Linked DNA regions of Drosophila melanogaster. The protein of the gene in region 4 interacts with the protein of the main gene of each other region in a pairwise test. Each region holds a gene or a part of one and is shown on either strand. Other genes may lie near its edges. The genes, in order: Rgl, Vajk3, Cpr57A and Unr.

Region 1 (4,624 bases), 5.5 Mb from region 4:
TCATTAAGTAATGAAATAATATAGTATTATAATGCCAGACGACGGGCAATTGTCAAACATATTCGTGTTTGTGTATACAAGGCACCCAATTATAAAGAAATAACATCCAAGTATGAGGGGGCGCCTGATTGGTCGGCCCACATCATCATCTGTCTATATATAAAGCAGGTGACCTTTCCTCCAGAAAAGCGTGTGGGTGGCGTTTTCTGCTTTTCCGCCCAGGGGGGGTTTCTCTCAATTACAGATCTTCGCAAAAATAGCCAGAAACCAAAACAAAGGAGAGTCGAACCGCAACATCAAAGCGAAATGGTACTGCATTTGCATTTGGGGTGAATTTATCAACAAACAGCCATACAGCTGAGGTCACAATATTGATAGATTAAAAGTGAAAATACATCTAAGGAAATGGATCAATATTTAAATGATGAAACATGACTCTGAGATAGTAAAATAGTATTCCGTTTGAGATATTCGATTTATAGGTAAAAGTATTGCAATTTGTATCGATGTAAAAACAGTTCTTTGAGAATTTCCTAGTTCTTGGCGGCAATAGATTAGGTGTCCGAAATAAGCAATACATTTCGCTTGTCTTGAAAAATGAAAAGGCATTTATTTTGACCGCAATTGTAGACACAAATCTCTATTTTTAAATCGACGACCCCTGGCACGAGTTTTGTGAATTGCAGCAACAGAAGCAGCGGCAAAAAAAAAACAACGCAAAACAAAATTGAAAACGCCAAGGGAAAAAAACGACTGAAACTAAACACCAGTCTCTCCCCCTTCCCTCTGTCATCCCTGAATGACTGACTGACTAAATGACTGACTGGCTAAATGACTCTGACTGACTGTCAGTTACATGCGACTGCATCCGACGCAGTCAACTTGACAACATTTGCTGCTCCCTCGGTGCACATAAAAAAAAATGAAGGGAATTATGATCAAATTTAATTGCATCGGCCTACTAACACAGGTCCATCAAGATTTTACATCGTTTGTGTTTATGAGAAATAATAGAACAGGCATTACTTGGCATTCGATATTCTATCCCTAATGTCTCCTTTTCGCTATATTACAACATAACGAATATCAACCGATGCCACATCCTGTTGCAATTTTTAATTTCAAAAACCATAATTCATATCCGAATAAAACTTTTATTTAACGTGTATATGTACATATGTATCTGTCTCTACTGCAGAGCAGCTGTCCCGCTCTTTCGGCTATTATCAAACCACATCCGTTGGGCAGCAGCAGAGATGATGTGCAAACAATACAAAAACATATCAACCTAAGCTAAAGTTTGAGCCACTGAGCATAGCTCCCCACGTAAATTATTTTTTTTATGCATTCCCCCATCATTCGCCAGTGGGTAAAGGAAGTGGGGGGCGGAGCTTTTGTTTTGCATACAATGGGAGCTGATAAATGATTTCTAGGGGCACTCCGCATAAATGGATGATAAAGAAACGAAAATATAACTGGGACTGCAACTGAAATGATCTCAAACTGATTCACCTTTAAATTCATAGCTTTAATTCGTTATCTTTCACCTGCGAAACAAATTATATACATCACTTAAGAATACCCTACACCATTTGTTCCCAAGCATAAGTATACCAATTTTGAATGCTTTTTAATTAGCATATAAATTCTCGAAACTCCCAAAACAAAGCTTCTCCAAGCTTGGCAGTTCCCATATGATTCATTTATAACTTGTAAAAAATTCCCGACTTTTATCGATTCCTATTCCTTCCCCACCAAAAGAAGGTGTTTTATTTCTGGACTCCACTTAGGCGTAAAGTTTCCATACCATTGCATTTTTGCCCATAATCATTGTTGACATTTCCTTGTGAATCGACACCAAGACACTACAGTAATCCCTCTCCACACAAAACCAGATCAAGTACACAGCAACTAGTTTTCAGGGTTGAAAATTCTCGGACAAAAAAAGGTGCGCATTATCGATAATTATCCATGTCGTTGATTTAAGGGCGAGGGTCAATAGTAATAAAATTCAAGCCATTAATGTTTTTATCTTATCAGGAGTTTGTTACCGATGTATTGCTTATTGCAGAAATATGATGTACTTGTTTTAAATATATTGTTAAAAAAAAACATTTCAATGTATCAACGTTCGAGTGACCACTGTAAGGGCAGGATAAGAACCAATAGATCTAAAGTGCGCTCCTTTCTAATCCGGCCTGATGGATTGCGTTGTTTTTTTTTACCATTTGAGATTGGCTTTTGTTCCTTGAGAAATGTTGCTGAGATTTCCACGGATGCACTGCTTGGGTTTTCCTATCCGTTATCCTCTTCTCGTCGGTTCGCTTTAATTTACACGTCTCCTTTAATGGCTTCTGGTGTTTTATTTTTACACCCAAGTGCAGTTCAATGGGTGGTGGGGGTGTTGTATAAGTAAAAGGCAAGTAAAATCGATATTCCTGCTGCTCTTTTTTTGTACTGGGCTTCTGTGTTCTGGCCGCTATACCGTTGTTCAGCTTCCTGGGAACGATGAGTCAACGGGACATAGAGAAACACACCCAGTAGCAGTAGAGGTGGGGGGGTTAATATTGGTATTTGTTCTCCGGTTAGTGGTAAGTGGTGAATCCTTGGTCCGCGAAGAAGGGTTCGTTGCACTACGTCTATGCGTCTGCCTGGCAATCTCCTCTTTGCTCTCGTGCTTTAGCACGTCTTCCCTACTATTTATTTGTTTTCACTTTTATCTCTTTTCCTTTTGCTAATGCTGCACTCGCACACACGTAAACGGCAATTTTCGGGATACCGCTTGCATTTTCATTCGCTTGGCTGAAAATCTCAACATGAGATATCCATGTTATTACAAAAACATTATACAAAATTCACATTCGGGGGTTTCTCTACTTGGAAAAGGGGAGCGTAGGGGGCGCAGAGCGTAAAACGCGCGCGAGACACACACACAAAGCTCTCGGTAGAGAGACACGCGACGCAACCGCCGCCAACAACAGTCGAAGACGAACTCTGCCCGCTTAGAACAAACGACCGCCCGAAACCCCATCGTCTGTATCCAACTCTCGCTTACTCTCTCCCACACGCTCTCTCTGTCGGGGATCCACTCTCTGTCATTAAGAACGCAAGCATTTTCGGGGGATGTTCTTACTCGACGGATGTAACTGTAGCATCCCCGTTCTCTCAATTGCACTCTCTCGTTCGCTTTTCTCAGGTACTCAAGTTTTCGACCGTGGGAACTTCTAGCAAAACACCCACTATGGTTTTACACCTTGCGTGAAGGTATATTGGTTGCATCGAACAAGTTCAAAAACACAGTTAACATTAACAATGCATTCCAATATTGGTTCCGAATTTAAAACACCTACATATTCTCACAATTTATAGTCAATAAACTTAAAATAGAACTTTTTCCAGATAAACTGTCAATTTACCATTGAATTGGTAATTGATTTTATTTCTTTTGCACTATGGTAACTTGGCCTTTTAAATCAATTTAAACAAATTTCTTTAAAACTTCTTCCTAGTGACTGTTGACACGCTAAATATAAATAAATAAGTTTCTTAAAATAAATACACGGTATATATATGTCGTATCAGAACAAACATAAAAATCTTACTTGCTCTGGCCATTCGCGCTCTGTTTATGTTTTTTCTGATGAGCAATTGACTGTTGGCTTGTTTGTTTCTAATCAGAACTCTCTCTCAACTCTCTCTGTCAATTTTAGTATTTTTTGGTATATATTTACACTGACCCCCACAATAGCATTTGTCTTCATTATAGCTTCACATTTATCAATGGAATTTATGGGCCTCCTAAACCTGTAGGATTTTATTCCAAATTTTTGATTAATGCCAACAAAGAAATTTAAATAATTTTCTTCCATGTTTTGTTTGGCTTTTTAGGCTATCATTTGACCAACCGTTCAAACATGTGAACTGGAATGACATAATTATGGAAATGGGAATACCTGAGTGTTGTCTGGTATTTGGTAACGATTTAAAGAAAGCTGGCGGGGAAATCAATAAGCAGAAATATTAATAAAACGTGCATTTACGTAAGCGCCAATCAAACGATGCCTGCTGTTTTGTTTGTTGCTTGTAGACATTGGATAAATATTCGAGACCATGAGCACGTCAATTGATCAATTAGCGAATGCAACAAGTTTCAATACAAAAAAAGGCACTGATATTTGTTATGCACTTGGTGATGCTGATAACGAATTTTATATAAAGCTAGAAAAAGAGATCAATTAAAGATTGACCCTCAATGTGCTTCATGATGTTGGTGTCAAAATAATACGGTTTAAAGCTATAGTAAATTTATTTAAAATTATTGCTGTTCTCCCTATCAGAAAGTATGGAGAATAATATTTTAAAACGTAAACGTCATAATATATATTTAGATGAAAAATGTTGTGCTCCAAAACTTTAGTCATACGAAAAAACCGCTCTTGTGTTGTGATCGTGATAATAAATATCACAAAAATTATAAATTAAATTATAAATTATAAATTTCTTTAATTCGATTTTTCGGCACCACTCTAATCAAAATGTTGCAACATATTTTTCATTAACTTAGTCTACGGACTATTTGACCAAATAATTAGCAGACCTGGGCAAAAAGCCTCCACACAAAGTT
Region 2 (4,884 bases), on a different chromosome or scaffold from region 4:
TCATGTCATCTCAGCTGACTGACTGGTGAGAGGATTTTCGGGTTTAAGGATCAGGAAGGCGTCAAGACATCTGTTTTTATTGTGACTGAGTATTATTGATTTATTACAACTTAAGCTGTACTTAATTACAGGTATGCATAATTCGCATCTCTTGGCTTGAAATAATTACTGGTATCCTACTTGTTACCTTGCAAGATTAAAGGGTCTTCGTATAACTTTTTATTAAAGTGATCGGAACATAAAGTTTTTGAACCATTCCGTCTATTTAATAAATATTATTAGAGAGCTGTAAATATTCCAGAAAATGATCCTCAAAAAGTCTAGTAAAAATACATTTTTTAAATATTATTTATGTTGAGTAGCCACCAAATCAAAAACGACAGCTGTTTAATAACAACATACTCTTTATTTACAAAATATATTTACAAGATATACAATTACAAAGAACCCTATGACAAACTATTTCCAGCAGCTAACCAGTGATAAAGACAGTGAAATTTATTTTATACATTTTATTTTATTTGTCCTTAATAGATTTTCACATAGATATTTCTGTTCTTATTATCCATTCAATTCATTGTGCGCCGAAACCTTTCACTGATAAACTTGGCCAGCTAAACTGTTCATAAATGGCGAAATTTACAAACAGTTAGCTGGTATTTATCCTAAACCTGGAGTTCTTGGCCCAGCACAATGGCTTCCATTGGATGGCTGGATTGGAAATAATTTACAAAAGGCATTGCTTGTTTCATCTTGGGGGTTCTTATCAGCTACAGAGAGTGTGGCAGGGCGGAAGTTTGACTTCCAGGGGGTATTTTAAGAGTTTGCTTCTGCGCTCGGTTTTGGAAAGGAAGGCCGACAGGTGGAGAGAGTGGGGAAGATAATTGAAAATGTTGCTAGATATCCTTCGGCTCATTTCCATTAAGTCCGCTCGCTCCAATAGATTCGCCTGCTTCCGGTCCATTCCGTCCGCTTACTTGTGGTAACCATGGTGGTCGGAGTAGACGGTGGCATCGTGGCCAATGGCGCTAACAGGGTAGCTGCTGACGGCAACGGTGGGTGCGTGCTTGACCACGGAGTGGGACACCACGGGCACCTTCACGTAGACGGGGTAGGGACGATCCACATGCACGGGCACCTGGACATTGACGGCCTTCTCCACGTAGACAGGGTAGGGCTTGGCCACTGGCACGGGGTAGGGCCTGGGCACCTCAACGGGCACTGGGCGATCGACGGGCACATGGACGGGCACCTTCTCGTGACGGATCACTTCGTAGGGCTGGGGCACTGGCACGGGCACCTTGACGTACTCCTTAACGGTCACGGGCACCTTGCGGATGACTTCGTAGGGCTGGGGCACGGGCACCTTAACTTCGACGGGCACGCGCTTCTCATGGACGACGGGATAGGGGCGGTCCACATGCACGGGCACTGGGATTCCCTTGGTGATGGTGATGGTCTTGTGCACATCGGCCTGCTTGCTGATCACATAGGGGGCGGGAGCGTGGTGGACAGCGACGGCGGGAGCAGTGTGTCCAACGGCGATCGCGGGACCACTGTGGCCCACGGCGACGGCAGCGGGTGCGGAGTATCCGGTCAGTCCGTAGCCATGTCCGTAGCTTCCGTGGCCGGAGATGGAACCATGTCCCAGGTAGCCGGTGTCCAGACCAGCATGACCGTAGCCGTAGCCCAGATCGAGCAGGCCGCGCTTGTCCAGCTTCTTCTCCAGCGGCACCTTCTCACCCTCGGTTTTGCTGGCGCAGGCGGAGGCCACCAGCAGAGCGGCTAAGCAGATCTGCAAAGAATTGAGTTGGTGCGATTGGTTATGAAACTATGCATTTTAGAGACTTTTAAATAATAATAATATATTAATTTTCTAGCAAAATTCTAGATATTTGTGATTTCTTAATAGTTTATTTCACAATAACTAAGTTAGTAAGTAGAACTTGATTCCTTGCAAATATAGTTTAAATCTATTTCAAAATGAAATGAAATAAAATTTAGTCATACTATCTTCGAATTCTCAACTGTGCAAACTCATCTATCATGAAATTCGTATAGTCTATTCTTTAAGTATTTGAAGCTTCTCTATGATAAAACAATTCAAGATATGCAACCTACATAAATTGCCTAACGAAAACGTTGACTTTTATCACCCATTGCCTAGTTTGATCGATTACCTAATCGCAATAGAAAGCGAAGGCGATAGGCGATATGTGGCCCGATTCGCATTGTGTCGTCCGTTGTCTCATCGCCCTCTTTCGCGATTCAAATGGTCAAGTGAAATTTGTGCGTGCCTGGCATAAATGATGCAGTGCAGTCATCGCCCACTGCCACGCCCAGTTTCCGCAATACGCCTCAACCGACTGGCGTCACGTTACGCATACGCAGTGGGCAACTCAGCGAATGCATTTGGAGCTGGCTTTAATTGAGCACATGAACCCAGTTGATTACGGCCTGGTAATAAACGTGGCTGGCACTCCAATTATGATCGTTCAGTTAATAAACGCTTATTAGCCATGTCGTTCAAGTTGAATTTGGTCGTTTGCGAGCATTTCACCTTTGATTAAGGAAATTTATCGGATTGAATTGTTTCAGGAAGTTGTTTGTTGTTGAAGATGGCCAGGTAAACAATGTGAGGCATTTGCAATGCAAAAGGCTATATTGTTCCAATTAGTTCATGTCAGCATTGTTCTGTATGCAATTCTTTGAATTATTACTTGATTTCTCACACTAAAATATGCTACCAACAGCGATAGTTCACATACTCGTACCCATTTACATATCAAACTAAATTCTATATGTCTAATTACTATATGTCTGTTGTACTTACGAATACTTTCATTGTGGAGTCTAATGGGACTTGCCAAGGCTGTAAGTAAACAAAGAAAACAATAAGATTATTTATACGAAATGCAGCATAGATATTTTTTTTTTTATAAGATCAGCACTTTAATTGGTATTAACAATCTGTTCTTTGGGAAAATGTTCCTTGGAAAATTGAAGTTATTTAGAGCACACGGCTCGCACAGTTATTAGTTTATAACTTTTAGATCACAGCTTAAACTTTATTTCCGTTTCACATAGACTACACGCATTTTAGAAACAAACAAAAATTAACTTGGCATTTGGCTTCACTTACAAGCAACTCAGTAACAGCGAAATAGACTGTGGAAGGATTGTAGAATCACTAGCGATTCCAAACCTTTGACTGGATGCTGTCTGTGGTCAGTGGCGCGCTTTTATACCCCCAAAGAGTTTTTGTGTCAAAACGAAACTGAAAACACCGCCAAACCAAGTCGCTCAGCGGTTTCCAAAAGCTTTTCCCACCACAAACCAGCCTAATTGCTCTCTTCAAAGCTCTGAGTTCGGCTTGGTTTGCGCTTGTATTGGTTATATTTGTGTGTATTAGTGCGGCACGGAAAGTTGCAAGCGGAAGCGCTCACCAATACACTGGCATGCCACCAATACTCACGCAATTGCGGCTTTTCTCTGTGTGTATTGGTGACTTTAGCCGCCAACTTGAAAGTGGCTTATAAAATATGGGTGCAAATGTGATCAAATCAATTTGGGAACATAAAAAGCAAATAAAATAAATTAACTAAATCTTGAATTGAAATTTATATTGGGAAAATCCCGCAGAACGTACTAGCAATCCTTTCTTGTTTTTTTTTTGTTTTATTTGGATAAAAAGTCTTCGGGCTTCTTAGCAAGTTGTTCCCAAAAATATAGATTTCAACGAAAGGTCATATGTCTATCAAAGTCGTTATGTTTTGTTTGTCAAGTTTCAGAAGTCAGCAGTTTTGGTCGAACCTGATTCCTAATATCAATAATTCTGAGTCTACCTAATGGAAATTCAACTAGATTTTGTTTTGATTCCATTAATTAAAAAAAAAAAAAAACTTGCTTATTAGTATCATATTTATACGTTCGGCTCGCATTTTAAACAAAGGGTCTATAAATCTGGAATTGTTCAAAGGGGTAATCTGGTTTTAATCTTGTATAATTTCAATATAAAATTTATTTCGAAACATTTTGTGGCCCAATAAACAAAAGTGTAACAAAGCAATTTCTTTCATTTGAGTTTAATAAATCTCAAATTCACTTAGCAGATCTAATATCGTAGAACTTGATTTAACGGTAACTTGATTTATAACTTAATTAATGTTTCTTATAATTTTGTATGCATTTGGCGAACCGAATGTTTTCCGGATTTTAGTATTTAATTTTTAACCGGATTCAGATCTTTTAAAAATGGCAATTAATTACATTAAACTTTGATTTTGTAATTGATATTGTAGTAAGCAACATTTATCAAAGTTCACTGTACTTGTAACCAGTTACTTGCTTTATATCAGTATACATTGTTGCAAGATAGTAATTTGAGTGTGATGTCTCAATTTCTATTGCTGTCATAATTAGGCTTTCTGGTTTTCTTGCCACCTTTGGGGTACTCGGGTTACCATTTTGCACTTCCTGCAACAACCAGGTAAAAACGGAAGCTGCCTCTCTGGAATTTCTCGGCATCTTTGATGTCATTGACAATGGTTTAGTGATCACCGGGCGGAAAAAATAGATACTATCTGCGATTGGGGGTGGTGAAAAGTGATGCAACAGATGCGGTGCATAACCGTGGGCTGCGAATCTCAAGTTTCGCACTCGAAATCGATTATCGGAACGCTGGGTGTGGGATTGTGGAGTGGAATACCAACGGGGATTGCAAATGGATCTGTGACTGGAACAGTGACTGGATCGGGTGCCATGCGTGAGATCTGCACTGTGGCGTAAAAGTGAAAGGCCTTTATGGGTCGCCGTTGCAGTAGCGGCATTAGATGCTTGTGCATTTGCACAAAATCAGATTATATATCAGCCAGGCTGAGTCCG
Region 3 (3,962 bases), on a different chromosome or scaffold from region 4:
ACAATGAAATACTTTTCATTTTATTGAATCTACTTTGCATTACTAATTGAAACATACTTCTCGGCCGCAAGCTTCACATCCTTGAAGCAGTTGAAGATTCCATATGATAGCTCGCACAGATCCCTTTCGTCGCTGAATTCTATGCGACATGTTACCAACTCTATTGCCACCCATTGCCAGTCCACCACTCCGGATTTCATGTACTTATCGATCTGCACATTACCCCGTTCATCAATCAGACCCAAATCCAAGAGGACGCATGTTAGAAAGCATTTGTAAGCCCGATCGATGGGCGGAACTGGCCAATTCTCCATCACTTGGTGGGCTTCATATTCGGATAACTCATTTTGCGAAACACACGGATTAAATACTGAAGTGTTAGCCTTTACAACGAGATAGATACATGCATGTTATATGAGAACTTTATAAATATATAAATAAAGCTTACGAGAACATTTGCGCACAGAAAATTTAGCAACAAACACAGTGTAAGTTGGTCCAACATACTTGCTATATTCCTAGGGAATCCATCGTATCATGTACTTATAACAAACCCAATACGAGCAATTAAATTTCAATATAATGGATAATCACATTTTTAATTGCACACACATTCAACGATTTAAATTACCTCTTTTTAATTTGATAACTGACTTATTAATTAATAATATAAACAATTGAATATACGTGGAGATGCGGGTGGCAATCGCATGTATAGTTATTTTATGGATTCTTTTCTTTGTTATATACCCGATACTAGAATATCGTACCCTAATATTAGTTATTAATATGCATCCAAAATAAAAAAAAACAATCTTATTCTTTACAACGGCTTTTATGACTTTGTTAATATTTCTTGCCTTAAACAATTGAATATAGCAAAAATTCGGCTACAATAATCTGTTTCCATTCTAAACTCATATCGGCATCGATTGATTTTGGGTGCCACCGCCAATTCATCAATGACTCCAGTATCGTAGTACTTGTCCAGAAATATCTCACCAGAAGCGGTCACAATATTGTAATATTGCAAAATACAGGTCACATAACACTTGTGGGACCTTTTCACGCTAGTCAAATCCACATTTGCAGGCCAGTCACCTAGAATTGATTCGGCTATATCTTCGTCTATTCCTTGATTATGGGGGCACGGATCGTTAGAATCGGCAATTCTCTAGAAGAGGAGTCTTATGTTAAGTTTTTCCGAACAACTGCATCAAGAATAAAGTGTTGAACTTACAAATTGAATTTCCAAAATAAAAATAATACAAGCCAGATGCGGTACAAGTCTTAGAGACATTTTTTCAGGCATCAAACTAGTTGAAGATATCATAGGAAACTAAATACCAAATCGCATAAATTGAATCGCATTTTACTGTCATGATGAAATAAATCACTTACCATTTTAACACAAAAGAAATAAATTCATTAAAAGTATAGAATGCTATCTGATTATAACAAACTGTATAATACAAAATAATTAACTAAACTATTTCCCCCACTCACTTTAACTGATCACAAAATAAACGGAAATTGTTGATATTTCTGGAAGCTACCCGTTTATTTTCACATCATTCAGCGAACTCCATCACCTACGGATGGTACTGTCCATCTTCGATCTCTCCATGCTCAGATTGAGCGGCCAGCGCCAGACGCTGTGCCTCCTGTTGGCGTCCAATGGCCGCGTGCTCGGCAGCGATCCGCTCGAAGGCGCTCAGGTGCTTCTGGGTGGCATGTGCAACGGCGGCGCTGGCATGGGGGGCATTTGCTAGTGCCTACAAAGTTGTGGAAGACAATGCATCATTACAAACAATTTGGAGCCACACCTGTGCACGGCACACTCACAACTTGGCCTGGCGTGTGGTTGGCATGCTCTTGCGCAATCCGATTGTAGGCCGCGAAGTGCCTTTGCTTGGCTGCCTGGACGGCGGCGCTGTCCTCCAGTTTGTGGCTAAGCTGAGGATGGAAACCATGCTCATCCGCCACATACTGTACGGTGCGCACCTGGTTCTTTGGGTCCACATAGGAGAAAGCACCGCGGATCACACCCGATCCATCGGACACCTCGGTATGCTGGCGATCCACATGGCCGGGAGCACGGCCAGCTTGGTAGCTGAACACATACGGACTTGCTGGAACCTTCGGTTCCGGGGTGACCAGATGGGACACATCGGCCGCAGCGACTGCCAGCAAACAAACGACCTTGACATGCAGACAGGAAGAGTTATATGTAGTTGAGTAACATCTGATATAGTCGCTCACTTACCAAAACTATAAACATGGTTGCTGGATTGTGTTGCCTCTCTACTCAAGTTGCGATTGGTAACTGGCGGTGACTTGGACAACACTTCGGTATTCGCAGTTCGTAAGAGCCAAAAACTGGTATTCGAGGTGCCGAGATGCGCATTTTATATGCCACTACGATCGGCTAATCCACGAATCCGAAACTTGTTTTTACATTTTGCATTCATAAACAAGGTAATTTGACATTAAAGTTGAATTAACAAATTGTTTTTCGATATATAACATTCTATGCCTTTGGTTAGTCATCTGAACTTGAAATTAGCAAGTTATTAGCGTTTAATACGGTTCATTTACAGAGGTGAAAAGTCTTAAGTATTAGATTTCGTATTAGTATATATGGGATTACGTTATAACTTAAACTTAGCAGTGGTTTTGACCATTATTTCTATGTTGTAATACAGTTTAAAATTAGGCTAGACCAGCTCCTCAATTGTCTGCGCTATCCAGTCGTCATAGGCCGAAACTTTTGTGTAAATTCCAGGAAACATGGCGTTTGCGCATCCAAATCCCCAGGACACAATGCCGTAGAGCTTTAGACGGCCATCTATAGATGTGACAAGTGGACCGCCCGAATCTCCCTGGCAGCTATCTCTTCCTCCCGCCTGAGTTCCCGCGCAGAACATGGTGTTGGTCACGGTGCCAGCTCCGAAATAGTTTCTGGCACACTGGTTCTGATCTCTCAGATGGACAACGGTGTAGCGAAGACGCTTTTCCGGCTGCATTTGTGAGATCGACGTGCTGCCCCAGCCGCTTACAAAAAGCTGTGCGGTCGGCATAATGATGTCCTTACTGGTGGCCAAGCTTATGGGTCGTATATCCTGACTATAGACAAGGGGTTGCTGCAGCTGAACAATGGCAATGTCATTGTTCATCCTCGTGGGGTCATGGAACTCAGGATGCGGAATGATCTTTTTGACGCGAATATAGCTGCCGCCCTTCGTCCAATCGCTAGATCCGGCTCGAATCACGTAATATTGCGGTTTACTGTACTCCAGCACACAGTGAGCAGCAGTCAAGATGATGTTGGGCGAAATGATGGTTCCACCGCATGCATGCCGGGTGCCCAACTGCAGGGATACTTGGTGCGGAAAGAAGGTGATGTGCGTCTCCCAGCCGCCGACAATGCGGCCATCCTGTTCGACATCCGTGGAGTTCTGGGCAGCCGACGTACAGATTAGCCAGAGAGCTACTGCCAGTCTGAAATCCAAGCTCGTCATTTTCTCTTTGATTGCCCGTGACTGTGATGGAAATCACTGTGGTTCAGGTCTTTTATAAGGGAACTCCAAGACACACGGCTTATCTTATCGGCGGACCCAACTCTTTTGGTGGCCCCTGACCTTCTCGGACTATCTTTCGGGATTTATAGATATTTATGGATAGATGGCTTGGGACAAATTAAACAGATGGCGGAGGTCAAGGGTGCTGCTAGTGTCTAGGCTTTTGCTCTTCCAATCATCTTTCCATGGCCGTCACCTGCTCCTTGAGGTAATCCAAGTGGTTGACACTGTCCTGCATCACATCGTACTGGTAGCCCACGTGCTGCAGAATCAGCGTCATCTTCTGCAGATTCTGGTGGCTGTAATCCGAGACCACGTCCACTTGGGTGAAGTTCTTCAGGGTTTGGTGCATAATCTGTGGGCGAAACTGCTAAAGTAGTA
Region 4 (4,641 bases):
CAAAAAATGTGGTTGTTTTACTTAGCTTTCCTTTGCTGTTGTTGGTTTGTTTGTTTGTTGGTTTTTTGTGTTCCTTGTTGTTTTGTGTTTTTATATTTCTTGTAAAAAATGCCGACAAATATTGTAACGTTGTTGGTTTGTTTTGGTAGTTTGAAGTTCCTTCCTGGGTCTGTTGTAGGTTGTATTTCTTTTTAAAGTTGTTGTTCTTGAAATATTTTTTTTGTTTGTTTTGTGTATTCAAAATATTGTGGTTTTACGATGAAAATGCACACCAGCTCTGCTGCCGTTGGTGTTTTTATTTTTGTTCGAGTTTTGAATTATTATTGAATTATTGCATTTTGTTTGAAATGAATTTGGTTGATTTTTTTTTATATTTTTACTTTAGTTTTACTAGAAAAATACACTGGGAATACTTTTTACTTTTGGGTTAGATTAGCTTTGTTTGATATTTGAATATTTTGTGTGTTTTGCTTGATTATATTGGTTTCTATTTAGTATACATATATATAATATATATTTTGTAGGCAATCGTTGTGGTTTATAGGAAGTAGTAGTGATTTTTTATTTACTTTCGAATACCTTTAGTACAACGATGATTTTTGGGGGACGAGGTTTAAATCTCCTTCTTCCTCTTCTCGGGACTTCCGTTTCCGGTTCCTCGCTCACTCTCTCTCTGTATCTTTCTTTCTTTCTGTGTCGATTTCCTATTTTGTTTCGCTGTACGTTGCTATTACTTTTCGGTTGCACGATTTGTATAATTTGTTTTTTCTTTTTTGTTGTTTTGTTGCTGTTTTATTGCTGTTTCATTTACTATTCACTAAGCAAAAATTATGAGTTTTAATGTTTTTTTGTTTTTGTTTTTATATATGTATATAATAGATATAGGACACCCGTTATGTAAAGTTATCCTCGCTCATTTACTATGTTGAACTTTAAGTCTACGATTTATTTTGTTTTGTTTAAATATATATATTTTTTGAATGCGTTTTGAAGTCTTTTCATAACCTAGGGTTTTTATTTTTTGCTTTGTGTTGGTTGGTTTTGTTGTTTATTCACTTATTCCATTGTTTTGTTTTTGTTTTCTCGGTTGACGCTCACTAGATTTAAGCTTAGTTTAATAGTTTATATAATATAATATATAATATACTATAGTATATATGTATCGAAGTCCTTTAAGATATCACGAATTTGTTTCAATGTTTTTTATCTTTTCATTTGCATTTGCTCTTAAGTGTAAAGTTGTTGTTGGTTTAAGATGTTTTTCTGCTTTCTGCTTCCTCTTTCGCTCCTTCTTCTTCTTCGCCTACTGTTAAAAATGACGGGGTTTTCCTTTCATTTAATTAGAGATTTTTTTGTGGTTTTTCTTTAGGTTTTTGTTTTTTTTTTTTCTTTAAATTTATAAATTTACAGTAATTATCACAGAGTTGTTAAATCTTTCTTTGAATTTGTTTTGTTTTTCTTTTCTCCGTTTTACTTCCGTTTGTTGCAGTTGCTTTTGCTGTTTTAGACTTTTAACATTTCTCACTAGGTACACTTATAAAAAAATCTGAATTGAAAACTAGTAAAAAACAATGTTTTATTGGAAAAAATAAAAACTGTTTTTTTGGCACAAGGCCGCAGTTTTGAATTTGTTATGCGTTCTCTATATATATTGGCTTAATCCGTTTATTTTTTTTTCACTAATTTATTGTTTTAATTAAATTTATTGGCTAAGTTCAATTGCTGGTGTTGTTGTTGTAGGTCTGTGTAAAACGTGACTTAAAACTTATAGAATTCTTGTAGATTTTTGGTTTTAAATGTTTTCTTTATTGTTACCGTTATTTTTTTAGTATATATTTTTTATTCACACTTTTTTTGCGGCACAATTGTTGCTTGATCGGTTTTATTCAGCTCTCCTCGCTTCTCCTCCATTTATCGCTCTGTCTCCCACTTCCCTTTCGCCCTTGTGGGCGTTTATCAGTTGTTTTTGGACTTAAATTCTAGCAGTGTTTGTTTTTATGTTTAGTTAAATAATTTAGATTGATGTTGCGTTTTAAATTAAATCGTTTTTAATATGTTTAAATTATTTGTTGTTGATTTACTCCCGGTTATTTTGTACTTTAAAACATTAATTCAGTTGTTTGTTGGTTGTTGTTTGTTTGTTGTTGTTGCTGCTTTTGTAGCTCGGTTGTTGATGTCTTAATTTAAATTAATTAGCAAATTGAATTCACTCTGACTTAACAACAAAAAATTCGTAATTAAATTAAAGCTTTTCAGGAAAAATAATGAGGAATTTGGGATTTATTTAGCGTTTTTCCAAGTGTAGGTTTTGCGGTTTTGCTTGAATTGTTTTTGTTTTATTCGAGAGTCCGAACGCCGCAGCGCCGTTGCCTTTGACTTCACGTTAGTTTCGTTTCCCGTTGCTTTTTTGTTTTCAGTGCTTTTGCCGTTTTCTTGTTAAACTCCGCTTTACTTGCTCCTTCGTGGTTTGCCTTTTATTTTGTTTTAGCTTTTCTTTTTGTTTATTTATTTGTTGGTGCTTTTGAGTATTGACGAGTTAATTTCACAGCGTTTCAATTTGTTTGGTTTGTTGTTGGTTTTGTTGTTGTTTTATTTGAAAGTCTTCGTTTCAAGCTTGGCTTGTTTTTTATGTTGTTTGTTGTTTTGTTTTCTTTTTTTATTTGCGCAGTCGCTTTATCTCCCTCTCTGTCTGTCTCGCTCACACCGACGGGCGGCGTAAAAATTCTCGTTTTTTCTGTTTTGTGTGTTTTTCTTTGCAAAGCAAACGAAACAAAAACAAAGAAGAGTCCAAAAAACTTAAAAAGTTTTTGCTTTGACTTTTTCCTTTTGAGCTATGTTGTTGTTGTTTTTTATTTCTGCTGTAACTTTCAATTATTTGCGATTTATATTTGTATGTATTATTTTTTGATTCGTTTTCGATGGTGATTTTTTTATTTTTTTATCATATTTGTTGTTGTTTTTTTATATTATTATTATTTTTTCAGATTATGATGAAAGTGATGTCAAAACGGAGTTTTAGTTACAAAAGCTGTTGAATGAGAAAAAGAGAAAGGTGGAAACGATTAAGAAAAATTAATACATCTTTTTTATTATTTCTTTTATTTTTGGCTAGTGAAATCTACACCGAAAGTCTTGCTGCAGTTTTATCGATTTTTCAGTGTTGCAAATGGAGAGATTTTTGCCTGCCGGAAAAAATTGCACACACACTGGCGCAACCTACTACGCACACACACATGCACGCCCATACACACGCACACGCAATTGCAATCGTAAACTATTTTTACACATTATTGTTGTGGTTTTTAGCGTAAAATTAGCAACCCCGCAGACTGCACACACACATGCACAGTCACCGAAGTGCCAAGTTGGTAGCAAAAAAACGAATTTTCATCAACTTTTTTTTCGGGCTGCAAATTTGGTACCCTCAAACGCACACACACACACACAGAAGCGTAGAAAATCTGGCTGGGCAACGAAAAAACGTTAATTCGCCATTTAAAAACTAATTTCCCTAACACATTTCATATTTTTCCATCACAGCTTTGTTCGCGGCACATTTTCTGCATATTTTCGTTCCGAATTTGAGTTAAATAATAGTCCTATTTGAAGCGAACGAGAATTTTCTGGACCAGCCACACGTACCACACGACAGCACAACAACTGCTAGCGGGCGCCATATTTGCCGACAGCACGATGGCAGTGTTGGAAGGTGTGCGAAGAGAGGGACAATTGTGACGTCAGTGGTCATGGGAGTAGGAGCAGGGATCTCTTAGCTTTTCTATTCCTATATTTAAATAATCAAAACTTATCTAAGATAACGATTTAACTTTAATTCAGTTAAAGGGACTATCTTTAATGCAATGTCTAAAAGTAGTAGAAGTGCAGGGTTATACATCTATGTCATTTTCTATGCTATCACTGCAAATTATAAAATATGAATTGTATGTGACTTTTATGTAATATTCTTAGTTTTAATAATAAACAAAAGCAATTTATGTAATTAAATGGATTATTACTAAGAAAATTACATCTAAATATTTAATTTTAAACTGTACGTATTCGAGACAAGAACCATCGCTAGCTATTTCTAACTTAAGCCAACCCCAAAATCTTTTCGCCTTTTATTAAGCGGCAATATATTGATTTAAAAAATGAAACTAGTTTTATTTGTTCTGATAAATAAATATGGAAGATATGTTATTATCTTTGTAAAATTGGAATTCCCCCAAAAATGCAGAAGTGTATTCACTTAGTTTAATTCTTAATTTTCGGAAGTTCTGTCACATAAAACATAAAACACAAAAAATCCCTTTTTTAGATTCCTTTTAGCAGCCCACAGAAAATCACATTAGTTTTACGTCTTCCTGGGTCTTTTAACGAATTTTATTTCAGCAGCTCCTTGGTTGCTTAATCCATAATTAACTTAAATGGTATTTTGCATGATAATGGGATCCAATACATATGTATGCTGATAAATTGATTATCCTTGAACAGATTTTTAAAGATTACAATTTACAAAATCTAGTTAATTGGTTACGGTGCCTTTTATACATTCGACAGTGCAAAATGTTATCAACATGAATAGATTATCAAAACGCCCTCGCTAAATATAAATCTCGGGCTAATTGTAGTTAAAAAGAT

The links.
Region 1: the proteins of Unr (region 4) and Rgl interact in a two-hybrid assay, tested with the Drosophila melanogaster proteins (one large-scale study listed by BioGRID).
Region 2: the proteins of Unr (region 4) and Vajk3 interact in a two-hybrid assay, tested with the Drosophila melanogaster proteins (one large-scale study listed by BioGRID).
Region 3: the proteins of Unr (region 4) and Cpr57A interact in a two-hybrid assay, tested with the Drosophila melanogaster proteins (one large-scale study listed by BioGRID).

The regions. Positions count from the first base shown.
Region 1 is NT_037436.4:13,916,966-13,921,589, forward strand, and holds the start of Rgl (Ral guanine nucleotide dissociation stimulator-like), read right to left. Parts: upstream 3,001-4,624; 5' UTR 2,229-3,000; coding exon 2,226-2,228; intron 1-2,225.
Region 2 is NT_033779.5:13,944,256-13,949,139, forward strand, and holds Vajk3 (Vajk3), read right to left. Parts: upstream 3,222-4,884; 5' UTR 3,143-3,221; intron 2,873-3,142; 5' UTR 2,846-2,872; coding exon 2,834-2,845; intron 1,796-2,833; coding exon 974-1,795; 3' UTR 501-973; downstream 1-500.
Region 3 is NT_033778.4:20,547,787-20,551,748, forward strand, and holds Cpr57A (cuticular protein 57A), read right to left. Parts: upstream 2,332-3,962; 5' UTR 2,282-2,331; coding exon 2,267-2,281; intron 2,203-2,266; coding exon 1,846-2,202; intron 1,776-1,845; coding exon 1,593-1,775; 3' UTR 1,402-1,592; intron 1,340-1,401; 3' UTR 1,313-1,339; coding exon of another isoform or gene 1,241-1,312; intron 1,175-1,240; coding exon of another isoform or gene 836-1,174; 3' UTR 582-835; downstream 1-581. Other genes in the region: Obp57e (Odorant-binding protein 57e), read right to left, coding at 30-383, 449-505; Obp57d (Odorant-binding protein 57d), read right to left, coding at 836-1,174, 1,241-1,312; CG13430 (uncharacterized protein), read right to left, coding at 2,718-3,521; BORCS7 (BLOC-1 related complex subunit 7), read right to left, coding at 3,757-3,936.
Region 4 is NT_037436.4:8,438,691-8,443,331, forward strand, and holds the start of Unr (upstream of N-ras), read right to left. Parts: upstream 3,018-4,641; 5' UTR 1-3,017. UniProt on the Drosophila melanogaster protein: RNA-binding protein that acts as a regulator of dosage compensation in both males and females.